Linked DNA regions of Neodiprion lecontei. The protein of the gene in region 1 purifies or fractionates together with the protein of each later gene. This does not show direct contact. Links are inferred from orthologs where the notes say so. Each region holds a gene or a part of one and is shown on either strand. Other genes may lie near its edges.

Region 1 (5,534 bases):
ACAGGTCAAAGACCTTGATTTAGAATTAATTTGAATAAACAAATTTTCGGGTGGACTTCTCGCATCTGTAATTCAAGTCCATAAAACGATAGTTTTCAATACAATTTTATGACTAGCATTAATAGTTAAAGTGAAATTCTCTATTGGCTAGACTAATTGATCCAGAACAAACCAGTAGCAGCAATTTGGACTAGTTTCAACTCACCGATCGTTGTGTCGACATACTCATTGCGAGCGTTAACGTCGAATAGCTCGCCAGCGCCAAGAGCATAAGTCAGAGAATCCTCGAAACTTCCAAGGTGGTAGTAAACCTTGCTGGCTACGAGCGCTGCCAGCTCATGCTGATTAAATCCCTTGTCTTCGTGCAATATTTCGCTGTAGATAAGTTAAACGACGCCTCATGATTATTATTATAGCAATTTTGCTTCTTAATCTTAAAAGACAACTCAAGTAACACACATACAGATTTGTACAAATAAATAAGTATTGTGACACGTACATTTTTTCAATCGCCTCGGATATCTCTGGCCAAAATTCGTCCACAATGAGATCTAGTTTTTTCAGAGCGAACACTTTCAGCTCAGGCATCGGCTCTTCCAGTAGGGAAATTATTCCCGCTGGAAAATAAATATGAACAATGAAAATCGAGTGTTGTCAACATATTTTTATCCATATATTATAGGTTAGGTATGACAAGGCTTGCAAATCATGTCATGACTGAAAACAGTGACTTGCACACGAGCGTAGCCGGCTTTCGAAAAACTTCAATGTCCTGTATTTTTGTCGACAATTGAAAATTTTCGTTGCCGGAATAACGAAAAACCGTTTTATTCACCTGCTGACGTGATGTTCATGTTGTTTTAGGTGAATCTTACGATTTAACGCAATTGTTCAGGAGACGAAAAACGTACAACGACTTGACGCGGATCAAGTCTACTGAACTATGCCGCAAATCCGTAATCATCCGCAATGGTAACAAGCGAGTGTCGAGGTATCGTATTTCAAAATATCGAACAGCTCTGGAATTTCCCGCAGTCTCAACATCAAAATCCACCTTTCCAAAAAGCAGCCAACCCGATATAAAACTCAATTTTTATGTATTTATACGTTATTTATGATTATAGAAAGGGTGACAGAGTCACTTGACCTAATTTAGTTTTCATTCCAGTCCATTGAACTATGCCGTTAATCCGTAATAGCGGTGAACAGCCGCAATCAAAACGGTAGAACGAACGAATATCGAGGTATTGAATTTTAAAATATGGAACTGGTCTCGAGTTTTTACGCAGTCTACCATCAAAATACACCTTTTCAAAAACAAGCCAACTTCATATCAAACTGAATGTTTTTGTATTTATATAGTATTTATGACCACAGAAAGGTTGAAAGGGTCGCTTGAGCTAATTTAGTTTTCATTTAAGTCCACTGAACTATGCCGTAATAGTGCTGAACAACAGTAATCAAAACGGGAAGACAAACGAATATCGAGGTATCGAATTTAAAAATATCGAACTACTATCGAGTTTTCCGCAGTTCCATCAAAATCCACCTTTCCAAAAACTAGCCTACTTCAGAGAAAACACAATGTTTTTGTATTAATGGTTCGACAGGGTCAGTTAACCTAATTTAGAAACAGCGACCAAGTTTGATATTTTATGAATTTAAAGTCGAAGGAAGAACACGAAATATGGCAGATAAACCGAAATCAATGAGCCAGATTAAACATGTACCGAAAGACGCGCAAGTTATAATGTCAATAATGAAAGACATGGGCATCACTGACTACGAGCCAAAGGTTATAAATCAACTCCTCGAATTCACTTATCGTGAGTATATCCTCTCTTGTATCGCGTTGTTTTCATCGTTTCATTAAAATGAATTACAATTTTACGTACAATTGTTCTCAGGTTACGTAACCTGTATACTGGACGACAGCAGGATATATGCTAACCATGCGAAGAAGAAGTTCATTGACTTAGACGATGTTAGACTCGCTGTAAAAATGCAGTTAGAACGTTCGTTCACCAATCCGCCTCCCAGAGATGTACTACTGGATGTAGCCAGAGCAAAGAACAATATTCCGTTGCCATTTGTTAAGCCAAACAATGGCCTGCGCCTTCCGCCCGATCGTTACTGCCTCAATGCCACAAACTATAAGCTGAAAAACGCTACCAAAAAGATCGTTGGTAAGCCGTTACACGCCATAGTTGGAAATAATTTTAGCGGAGGTCAACCCAGGATCAAGATCGAACCGAACAAAACTGGATTGTCCATCGTCAAGAGGCCTGGCACTCTCGCTACTGTTGCCCGAACCCAAGCTATAACAATTCCAAAACCTGTGTTCAAATTCACCACCGGTAAATATAAAGAGGTTTTCTTTTTTTGTAGAGGAAATTGGATTAGTAGATTATTTTCATTCCTATTCTATTCATACTAATAATTTAAATACTTATCATTTCGCAGATACTCGATAAATTTTCCATCCCCAATACCCCATCCTACTTGCCAATATTTCTGTTCTTTACCTTCCATATGAGAATTTATCTCAAGTTTCACATGCATATCAGTAGAGTTGATCGATCTATCTAGTCTCATTCGGAACTTCCTTCAATGATTGTAAAGACTTTCAGGAAAAATACTAGCAAATGATTCTTCAACAGTAAATGAATATAAAATTGTAGTGATTGAGCCTTTTACAAATGAAAAAGTATTACGGGGTTAAAGTTAGTAACGATATCTTAACGAAACATTGTACAAAAAAAATTTCACCATTTTCCAATTTTAAAATGACTGTAAAAGTTAAATTATCAAAATATCAGCATGTCTAGCTTATTATACGTTTTATTGAATTTCAGACAATTCGAGATTAGCGAAATAACGGTTTTCCTTAACATGCATAGTTTACAATAACGTCACTAACTTCAACGTGATAAAGTATTAATACAGTAATTGTTCTATGCATTGAAGTGTTGATAATTATCCACTGATTAATAAACTCTTGGAATGTGAAGCGAGTAAATCAAAATTTAGAGAACATATTTTTACTGGAAATTAAATTTATGAATTTAGAAGCATCTTCGGTCAATGAATTTAATCTTTGAAGATTGTTCAACTATATTGTATACATCATTATTATCTGCTGATACTAACATGCGATAAAAACATTTCGGCAGGTGCTGGAGCTGGAGCTCCAGGAGGAAAACCGGCTGTTGGAAAGCCAAAGATTCAAATTTCATCAAGTCAACCTGTGTCTGTAATAAAAATGGAAACTGATGATTCGTCGAAGAGAAAAAGAGAAGAAGAAGACTACGATATTGCCTGACTAACTAAAAAAAAAAAATGTACCCGCGTCATATGAATAATATTATTTTATAACAATGGTCTGTGCACCCCAAATCAACACTTCTGATTCCCTAATCGTTCTGATAATAAATACAGTATTTATCACAGTTACTCAATGTTATAGGCAATTTAGCTATTATTCACTCCCACTTACGTTCACAGTTTTCTTTCAATCAAATTATCCACCATTTAAAAAAATGAACCAACATTTACCTAAATCATTTTTAGTTTAATTTCTAGTCTGTCTTTGTCTGTTTGGTACGAATAGTCAGCATCTGGCCGAATATACAATTATCACCGTGCTAAAGTTTACAATGAATATTGATCATTATTCCTATCTTTAATTGTATTTACAAATGAAACTTGAGATACATCGATAAGAAACATCATACGATCGGAATCACGTTGGCAGTTAATGTAATGCTTTGTTTTCAACAAATGTAAAGTAGTTATCATTTGAAATCTGGAGTATGGGTCATGGGTGGTACCAGATAATCAATCAATCGTAAAACTCGTTGAAAAAAACCACCAGCTGTTTTTGAAAGGTGTTTTGCTTTTCTAAAAAGCTCTAAGATTGACCTATAGATTGATATTGTGTCCCAGAATACAAAGAAAGTTGACTTTGGAATGGAGTCGCTAGAAACCATTGTCTCCTAAAAATTTATAAAATTGATCTGCAACAGATTTCTGCATCTGCATACTGACATTGGTATTGCACCTGAAGAAGTATTACACATTCTTTCACAGTAATAGACTTGTAATTCTTAATACTTTTATTGTTTAATTAAAAGTCGTCAAACTGAACATGTTTGAGTTGATTAATTAAAGAAGTAGAAATCCCAGTTTAGCAATCAAGCCAACAAACAGGATGTAACAATATGCGAAAAAATTGTACGGATTAAAATTGATTGATGGATTTAACAGTGGCGAATGGCGTGATCAATTCAGCACTTTGGCTTTGTTAGATAATAAAATTACGACCACTACTGTATAAGGATAATATCTCAGTTAGTTGCAACGATATACACACTACAAAAACTAACTGAGTAGATTGACAAGTTTTATCAGTAGCCGAATATATACAGTATACTACTATAAATACTGTCATCCAGATAATAATCTTGTTTGTTTTAAATCAAAAATACCAAAATGGGCTAGATCAAATGTTTAGATTTTATCACATTTTAGATTAGATGAAAGAACGTTGTAATTGAGCCTTAATCAATAACCACAAGGGGATTGAAACTCAGATTTAAATCTGTTTTGATTATCAATCACGAATCGATAATTGCTGGCACTATAAGTACAGTATTCTGCGAATAACAGGGCAATTCAAGTTTTTGTTGCAAAAATGAAGCTACTGCTCATAGCTGTTCTTGCGATTACTGCCTCAGGTACGATACCATTCAATATTACTTGATTTTTCTCGATTATCGATTCACAGTGCCGTGAATTTATTTCATCATACCATTTCCAACAATTTCGAGGCACTTGGTTTACATCGAAAATTAATTATTTGATCAAAATAATGCAGTTTACGCTGGGGAGGTGATTGAACCTGAGCATGACTACATGTATTTCCCTGACGGAGACGGAGTTCCTCAACTGATCGACCTGCTGGAAAAGGGTGAAGATCTGACTGGTTTTGATTCGAGTGATTCCATCCTTTCTCGCAATGTCGAAACCATAACATTCAATCTTTTTACTCGGTGAGAATAGAGTTCTGTTGACTTTTAAGCGCCGTCTGACCAGCTCAAGCTAATTACAGTCTTCTCTTTGCACAGTAACAACCCCAGGAATTCTCAGCTCTTAGTTCTCAACTCCGTATCTAGCGTCAGTGGTAGTAACTGGAGCAGTTCTCGCCCGACTCGATTTATCACTCATGGATGGAGGTCGAACCAGAATTCAGACGCCTGCATTACCATCCGCGATGGTAAGAAACCGGTGCAAACTTATTATCAAAAATAAACTGTAGTTATATTAGAATCCAGAGTAGTTCTTGATACATTTCAATAAGAGATCTGTTGATTTACCCCTAAGAAAGGGCTGAACAAGGAATGAAATATTAACTTGGCGTTGTATCTTACAGCATCTAAGCGGATTTCGATCATCCCAGCTGAATGGAACATTTATCAGATGAATCCTCTGCTGTCCAAAAACGGGTGAAAAAAAAAAAATATTCCATTCAGCTG
Region 2 (8,103 bases), on another chromosome or scaffold:
ATTTTGTCACCATTCTCCAACGATTTTAGAGCATTGGAGCCTGGTGCAGTGAGTATTAACATTAGTGAGCAGTACTGCAGTTAGCAAACATGAACACCAATTACCAGTTGGTTTGTGCAAACGTGTAGGTAAATAAATTTCATTAATCAGAAATATTTTTTCAGTGACACAATGGCGCTCTTTGCTTTCAACGTGGCAGTCCATAGCTCTGATGTGCACTCTGATGTGCACTGTAGGATTCTGTCTTGTCACCACTTTTGTTAGTGCAGTCCTACTTTTGAGGGATACGGAACTACCGTCAATCCCAATTTTCTTCAGAGTTTCTGACTGGTTGACAGACGGCGATGGTAAGATACAAATTTTACAATCTAATCATCGCATCTTCTTTTATAATTCGATTTCCCAGATTGCTTGGGTTAGATGAAATTTGCACAATCACGGCTATTCTAATGAAATTCAAACTGTCTGAAAATAATTAATAGTCTCGTCTCATGCTATCTGTTCTGGATAAAATCTAAAACAGTATAATTGTCGCATTGTACAGTTTCGACACGTAACTCCTGATAACAATGCTGGACGATAGCTTCTTTCAACCAAAGTCTGACGAATATTTGTATTACGCGTTCATGCTACTTGGTATAGGATGTGGGAAAGTCCCACCTCATTATCGTATGTACCGCACGACGAAAAATATACAATTTCCTACTGAAATAATGTGAACTAGCTATGCTGTAACTTGTGCATTTTGACCTCACTTAGCTTACTTACGGTGGAAAATAATTTCGATGCACAACTTGAGGCTTCGCGCTTTTTTGATATTCTTTATAACAGCTATCGCATGCATTGTCCTCAATGCCAACATTGAATGGCCGCATTCTTACTTATAGTTTTCGGACTATTAGTCGCGTCCCGGTGTGAATTAAGTTTAACTTCAACATACGCAAGTGAACCGATACTTTTTTCATTTTTAACCCTCATTGTCAATGCTTACGGTTAAATATGATTGCTGTACGCGGTTTTGCGGGATTGTTACAACAGTGACACTCCAGCGTTATCACGAGTTTGTCGTTATATGGGAGGCAGGAAGGCTTCTAGGCAACTGCGATACTACAAATCAGCTCTGTGGTCCGATTATAATGATTTTCCGGCGAATCACAATCAATCGTGAACACGGAACCGTCCTAATTGAAGATCCGAAATATCTATGAACTGCAATTTTGTATTTTCCCAATTGCTGCTAGGATTGAAATAATTCTAACTCAGACGTACCAAAAGCCGTCTGATTTTCGAATGGATTCATCTCCATACCAAAACTTGAATCCCCCGTCTGTTAAACTCAGTCCTATTCATATGATTTAAGATCATTAAAAGATAGAGCTGATAAACTGGCACCTTAAAACAATACATTGTGAACATTTAGATATGAAGATTTTATTATCATTCTGCGGTCAGTGTCATATCTTATTTTGATGTTTGATTTAGAAATTCACTGTTTATCTATAGTGATTTAAGAAAGGTCGACGATTATAGTTCAAGGTCCGAAAGATTATTTTCTGTCGTAAGAAAAAAAAAAAAAAAAAATGGAAATTAATACGTCAAATTAAACTGTTCTTTAAAGAAAATTGAGTATCTTTTCAGTGACACAATGGTGGTCTTTCCTTTTATCGTGGCGATCCATAGCTCTGATGTGTGCTATGGGATCCTGCGTCGTCGCTGCGGTGGTTGTCAATATGGCATTATACTCGCAAGATTTAAATATGCCATCAATCTCCACTGTTACAAAAATTCCCGACTCATCGGTAGACATTAATGGTAACGAACAAAATTTTCGCATATTGAATGAAGTTATGAACATATCCCAACGTTATAAATGCCTCGTGAAATCATTTTACATTAATTAAAAATTCTGTTTTTAATGTTATTTCAATTTTCGTAGGCCTCCCGTTGGGCACGATGATTAGATTTGTTACACGAGATGAATGGGGCGCACAGCCACCAGTGGAACCCGCGGCAAGGTTGAAGCATCCAGTCCCCTACGTGATCATCAGCCATACTGCAACTGATTTTTGCCACACGCAATCGTCATGTGTGTATCGAGTCCGATTAGTACAATGTTATCACATAGAATCTCGAAATTGGTGCGACATTGCCTACAACTTTCTGATTGGCGGGGATGGTTACGTATACATTGGCCGTAACTGGGACTACGTTGGGGCTCATTCGTACGATTACAATGCCAGAAGTATCGGAATCTCTTTCATTGGGACGTATAATACCGTCACCCCATCGAAACATCAGCTGCACGCACTTCAACAACTTGTAGACCTCGGTGTCACGACTGGGAGGATTGCAAGAAATTATAAGCTTTTAGGTCATCGACAGGTTTCCAGAACTCTCAGCCCTGGTGACGCGCTATACAATGTTATAAAAACGTATCCACATTGGTCCCCCACACCCTGACATTCTTCGGATCGATGAGATTCCAATATGTGCAAGGGTAGCAGTATACTCATTTATTTTTCATTTCTTTGGTATGGTGAATTTTTACTGGGAACTCTCAATAGGTACTTCATTTTTATTTCGTCTTACATATCTTATTTATTTCATGCCAATTTTTTGGGTAATGTAAGTGTATACAGCATTTTGCTACTAGTACTTTTTTATCATGTATTACAAGTCGTGTTGCATATCAAATCTCATTTTCTCCTCAATGAGGGGTCTTTTTCAAAACGAAAGCCTTGTACAGTGTCCCACATTAATGCCACTACTAGTGTTTCGAGTAAATTTAAAATATCAAGTATACACAGAATTTTCATGAATTAGTATCGTTGATATGAAAATATTGTTGTTCCTTGACTGGAAATGATTTTTAATAAAGATATTGTTTTGTATAGTTGTTATTTGTAATAGTTTTCAATAGTGATTTGATACGTTTTAATTTATCGAAATATTTAATAAAATTTGTCGTATGTAGAAATCGGATGATTGTAACATAGATATTATAATATAAAATATCTCGAGAGCAAATCATTCAAACAAAGCTTGTTGTAATAGCTATAACAGTCCAAGTTTTGAGTTGGCGTTTCGAAATTGCAACATTCGAAAGTGCAGCTGTTTTACCGGGCATAATAAAGGTGGATTCGCATGGCCGTGGCTTTACGTCGCAGTAATAATAGAAACCCTCCTGTATCGATGGGACAGCAACTGCGGCGTTGAAATGACTTTGTGAACGCACAAAGCTAAATCATTTGTATAAACTTACGAGTGTCCAGTCTCGTGTGATGAGTTAGTTTATGGTCAATTGTATTTCTGTTTATCGAATCATCAACAAATACTTGTGTTGAATGTTATCTGGAAATAATAAGAGAAGAACTAAACGAAAGAAATTGAAAAAGAAAAAACGAGAACGAAATCGACTACGCGAATCTTAAACTAATCGGGACCAGAAATGAGTTTGAAATGACTTATTGGTTGACTATTTCCGAGCTGGCCATTTTGGCGGGTGACGTGTTTTGGTGTTCTACTCATTGACATGCAGCCATATCAAAAGAAGGTGTAAAGGAGGGAAAGGCATTAACGCAAGGCTAGTAGGCGTTCACTGCGTTACGTAACGCGTAAAATGAGTAGCGTCGAAATAGCCGGTATAAAGAAGTAGCGAGGAAAAAACAAGAAGTAAACAGTACGAGGATACTATGGGGAATAATATCGATTTGCGCGTGTACTGCCCGATGGTAAACAGAAGATATGATGTATTCAATTTCCAGCTGCGCTAGGGGCAATGCACGATGGGAATAATTTTCTGTAGGCGCATGCGCAGTTCAGTTTACAGTTGGAGCTTGAAAGAAAATGGCGTCAGCTAAGTTTCTGGAGGAAGCTCTTAGTACGGACGTCGATGAATCCGCAGTAAACGCGATCGTCGGTTCGCTCGAGACGCAGTTGGTCACATCAACGCCGCCGATCTCAACCCACCAAGTGAACTCCGGTTCGGTTAATCAAAACCGTCAGTTAAACAGTGGGATTTCAAACGGGGGTACCATCATCTCCGCGGGACTGAAACATGGGGTTGCTAACGGCGGTGCTACTTCGATGAACAACCTGATATCCCAGGACCCGAGCAAGTCAATCACGACCAGCACCCTGTTGCCGGTGAACGTCGTCACCTCGAACACGATAGCGCATACAACATCGCAACAGCATCCACAGTCAGGAATTCCCGCTGCTGCCTACATAAACCAAGTCACAACCAATCAACAAACGAACATTACTAATATAACCAAAACACACGATCACCAACAACAGCAGCAGCAGCAGCAACATCAGCAACAGCAGCAGCACCAGCAGTCTGTCAAACTGGTGTATCCCTCACAGGGACAGACCATATCCACCACAGGTGTGGTTAACGTTAACAACAGGCTGTCATTCCCCACCCAAACAGTTGGCCATTTACCCAACGGCAGTCTAGGGGTGACCACGCAGACTGTGCTTCAGACTACCTCCGGCCTTGCTCACAACATCGGCTCTATAACACAGGCCAACAGCCAGTCCTCGGCTAATGTCAACAAGCAGCAGGGGGGTGGCACTGCCTTGGTTATAAAGACTAGCGCCACACCTGGGGGAATGGTTTCCGTCCCAATGTCCGTTCCCGTTTCAGTGGCTGGGAATGCCACCAGCACCACCCTGCAAGGGAAGGCTGGCGTCACTTCTACCATAGTACCTAGCAATGTCCAAATTTTAAACGTAAACACAATGAGGCCCGGTACTCCTGTCGCTGGACAACAGCAGGGCAAGCAAGTTGCCTCGAGGGTCGTCATTGGACAACACATGGTCGGTGCCAGACCTGGTGCACCCGGGGTAAGATGCTTTTTTAACGACATTTTCATTCATCATTTTCGCATTCATTTGCTCTTGCCAATATTTCGGTATCAACTTTTCTGCAATCCCTCCAATAACCTTGCAGAATATCAAAAGTGACTGGTATTTTATGTATCTCGTGTTTTTCAAGACTTATTTGTCAATCACAGAACTGTCTTTTTATTTTCTATTTTACAATAACCTTGAAACAGTTTCGCCCATTCATTCTTGCTCAAGCGAGCAAACCAAGTGTCAGCGCCGATTTCTGCATGTTTACAGTGAATCATTTTTGATGTGCGCAATATCGTTATTATTTTCATTTTTTTTTAACAATTTCCATTTTATGATCTCAAACGCAGATTCAGTTTATCGGCTATTCAAAAAGAAAAAATCATTATAAGTTTGAATAACATGTTACAATTTTTGTTATCTAGGGTTTCAGCTATGCAGAATTGATTTTTTCATCCGATGACGATTTCAAACTATATTTTAAGTAAAATACATGTGCAAAAGTTGCAAACTACCGAATCTTCTCCTGTTATAATCTTCAAATTCAAGGTTCTCAGTTTGCGGAAACAAATGGCCAGTTTATTCCTAGCAGCGATCGATTGTTAACGCATTCACTGTCAATGAAACTACCAGATTTTGATGAAACCGATTTAACATTTGGGAATTTGGCATTTCAGATAACACTGCAGGCCCTCCAAGGTCTTCAACCTGGAACCCAGGGACATCTGCTTTTGAAAACTGAGAATGGGCAATACCAATTGCTGAGGGTAGGACCGGCGCCACCCACAGGTACCCCTGGGGGAGGGAATGTCACCCCGAACAGTATTGCCGGAAGCGCAGTGGTTGCTCCGACCGCAGGCACAACTTATCGCCTAACCTCTGTGCCGGCTGTAAGTAGGCTGAACACTCAGTTCACTGGCCCGCCACTCGCCACGTTAAGAAAACCCATTCAGGTGACGCACACTCATAACTCGTAAGAGTCTCTTGATGTAGTGGCGTTGTAGATTTGCACTGTTTTATTGACTTTAGTTGATTGGAATAGTGGTTTTTCCTTTCATTTTTTGTCCTTTTTTCTTAGAAGCGCAATATACCGTGCATATCTTTGTTGGAAAGTGTTACAAGTCCAAGTTGGATTTATATTTTACTGTAAATTCAATTGTCAATTTGTTACAAGAAATACGTGGAATGATTCTTGGTAACCGTTTTCTTTCCTCCGGCAATGTTTTATTCTCATCGACGTAATATTTGATATCATTTTTAACTAATTTTCGTTGGACATATGATTTGATTTAGAATTTACGATAGATGTCACTCGAATGTTTTTCTCTGTATCGCAAGGTATGCATCACACTGCATATATTGTATCACTTTATTATCATTTTGTACTATTCAGGATATTTTTTTGACAGAAGTTTTTAAATTGCAAATTTTGCCTTCCTACTATTGAAAAGAAGTTTTCTGAATTACTAAAAGTAAACTTATTAAATTCGTCAGTATCATCAGTTTCAATGATAAATAGAAATTCGTAACTTTAAAAATGTTTAGCTATTATATTCATGTCATACGGTATTATTTGAGGTGTTGAATACCACTGACCATTTGCAACCAGTCTTATTAATATTCTCGATTAAGCTACCATGTAATTTTTCGATGAGCCCGAACTACAATGTCGGTTGCATGTCTGTTAAGTAGAAATATCAAAGTGTTCTTACAATGCTTGATAAATATGTAATTGGTCAGTTTATGTGATGCTATTTGAGTAGGTACAATTCACTTTTTCATTTCAAATAGCCACGTTTGATTGCAAAAAATCAATCAAAGTTCATAATCTCAGTCCAAGTATTAATTTCTACTATTATTTACAAATTTAGTTCGTTTTTTGTCTTTTTTGTATTGTATACTATTCCCACAGCTTAAGTATGGAATGATATATCCATTAGCATAAATTCCACACGATTGTCCAACTGCTAAACGGCTATTTAGACATGAAAAAAATGTTGCTAGTGGTATAGAAGTGAATTTCATAGTGCTTGATGATTACGCGCCCTTCAGTTTTCTGTAATGGCAAATTCTGTCATGTTTGTATCACATTTTTATTATTATACGTGTAGTTTGATTGCCGAAATTATTTACTTATTCGTTGTATTTGTTCTGTGACATGAAATTGCGTGTGAGTAGTAGTGGTGCATTATTTTAACGGTAGTGGTTTGCGCAAATTACGTATTTATTTTTTATTTTTTTTTTTATTTTTCCCTCAAATTGCAACTGTAGTAAAAGAAAACGATATGAAAATCAACGCTTCCTTGATTGACAAAATTTCATCCAGTATAAAAAAAAATGTTTGAACGGATTTTCATATCGTTCCTCAATATTGCAAATATGAAAAGCAATGAGGTTAGTTACAAATGATTAATTTTCATCTAGACGGTAGCTGCAAGTGTTACAACTGTGACCACGACTCCTGGTACTGTAACTACTGTAGCAGCCGCAGCTCCAATACCTGCTGCAACTAAAGTTCCAACAGCACAAAGTCCTGCCCAGGTAAAAAACATGTTGACTTTTGTCTTTGTTTCATGTACAACCATCGCGAATTAATAATATAATAAAAATGGTGTAATTCTTCTTTTTCAGCGTCAAACCACAGATAATACCAAAGAAAAGTGCCGTAAATTCTTAGCAAATTTGTTAGAGTTGTCTAGTCGAGAACCTAAAGCAGTGGAACGAAATGTTCGGACGTTGATTCAAGAATTAATTGATACTAAAGTTGAACCGGAAGAATTTTGTGATAGACTTGAAAGATTGCTTAATGCCTCGCCTCAACCATGCCTCATCGGGTTCCTCAAGAAGAGCTTGCCGCTTCTCAGACAGTCCCTCGTCACCAAGGATCTTGTTATTGAAGGCATACGTCCCCCTCCTGCAAACGTTGTTTTCTCCATAGCAGACAGTACGTCGGTAGCTCAGGCACAGGTGGGTGTATTCAATATGGCAAACTGTTGTATTAAAATTTTCATATTAATATTGTCGATATCCGTCCATGTTTAAATTATAATCAGGGTTGTTACGTGACCTAGCAAATCGAGATGTTCTTTGGGGGGGGATTATTTGTCATGTTGGAAAAGTCGAGGAATTTCACGTAATTATAAACGCTCATTAAATATCTCGGAGGTATACTTATATTACAGTACAAATATTCATAAGCTATTAGATAAGTTGAATGCATTTCATTATTTAAATTAACGTTTC

What was found.
Region 2: the proteins of transcription initiation factor TFIID subunit 9 (region 1) and transcription initiation factor TFIID subunit 4 purify together in Drosophila melanogaster (affinity purification with western blotting; 4 studies listed by BioGRID, with this or other methods). This does not show direct contact. The link is inferred for Neodiprion lecontei from reciprocal best matches to the Drosophila melanogaster genes Taf9 and Taf4.

What each region holds. Positions count from the first base shown.
Region 1 is NC_060262.1:4,427,044-4,432,577, forward strand, and holds transcription initiation factor TFIID subunit 9, read left to right. Parts: upstream 1-1,526; 5' UTR 1,527-1,687; coding exon 1,688-1,826; intron 1,827-1,907; coding exon 1,908-2,357; intron 2,358-3,173; coding exon 3,174-3,322; 3' UTR 3,323-3,453; downstream 3,454-5,534. Other genes in the region: 26S proteasome non-ATPase regulatory subunit 1, read right to left, coding at 206-375, 500-617, 836-854; phospholipase A1 VesT1.02, read left to right, coding at 4,694-4,736, 4,877-5,051, 5,127-5,275. UniProt on the Drosophila melanogaster protein: TFIID is a multimeric protein complex that plays a central role in mediating promoter responses to various activators and repressors.
Region 2 is NC_060261.1:2,567,618-2,575,720, reverse strand, and holds the start of transcription initiation factor TFIID subunit 4, read left to right. Parts: upstream 1-3,284; 5' UTR 3,285-3,846; coding exon 3,847-4,851; intron 4,852-5,537; coding exon 5,538-5,813; intron 5,814-7,284; coding exon 7,285-7,401; intron 7,402-7,491; coding exon 7,492-7,827; intron 7,828-8,103. Other genes in the region: uncharacterized protein LOC107216688, read left to right, coding at 165-347, 1,639-1,812, 1,937-2,460. UniProt on the Drosophila melanogaster protein: TFIID is a multimeric protein complex that plays a central role in mediating promoter responses to various activators and repressors.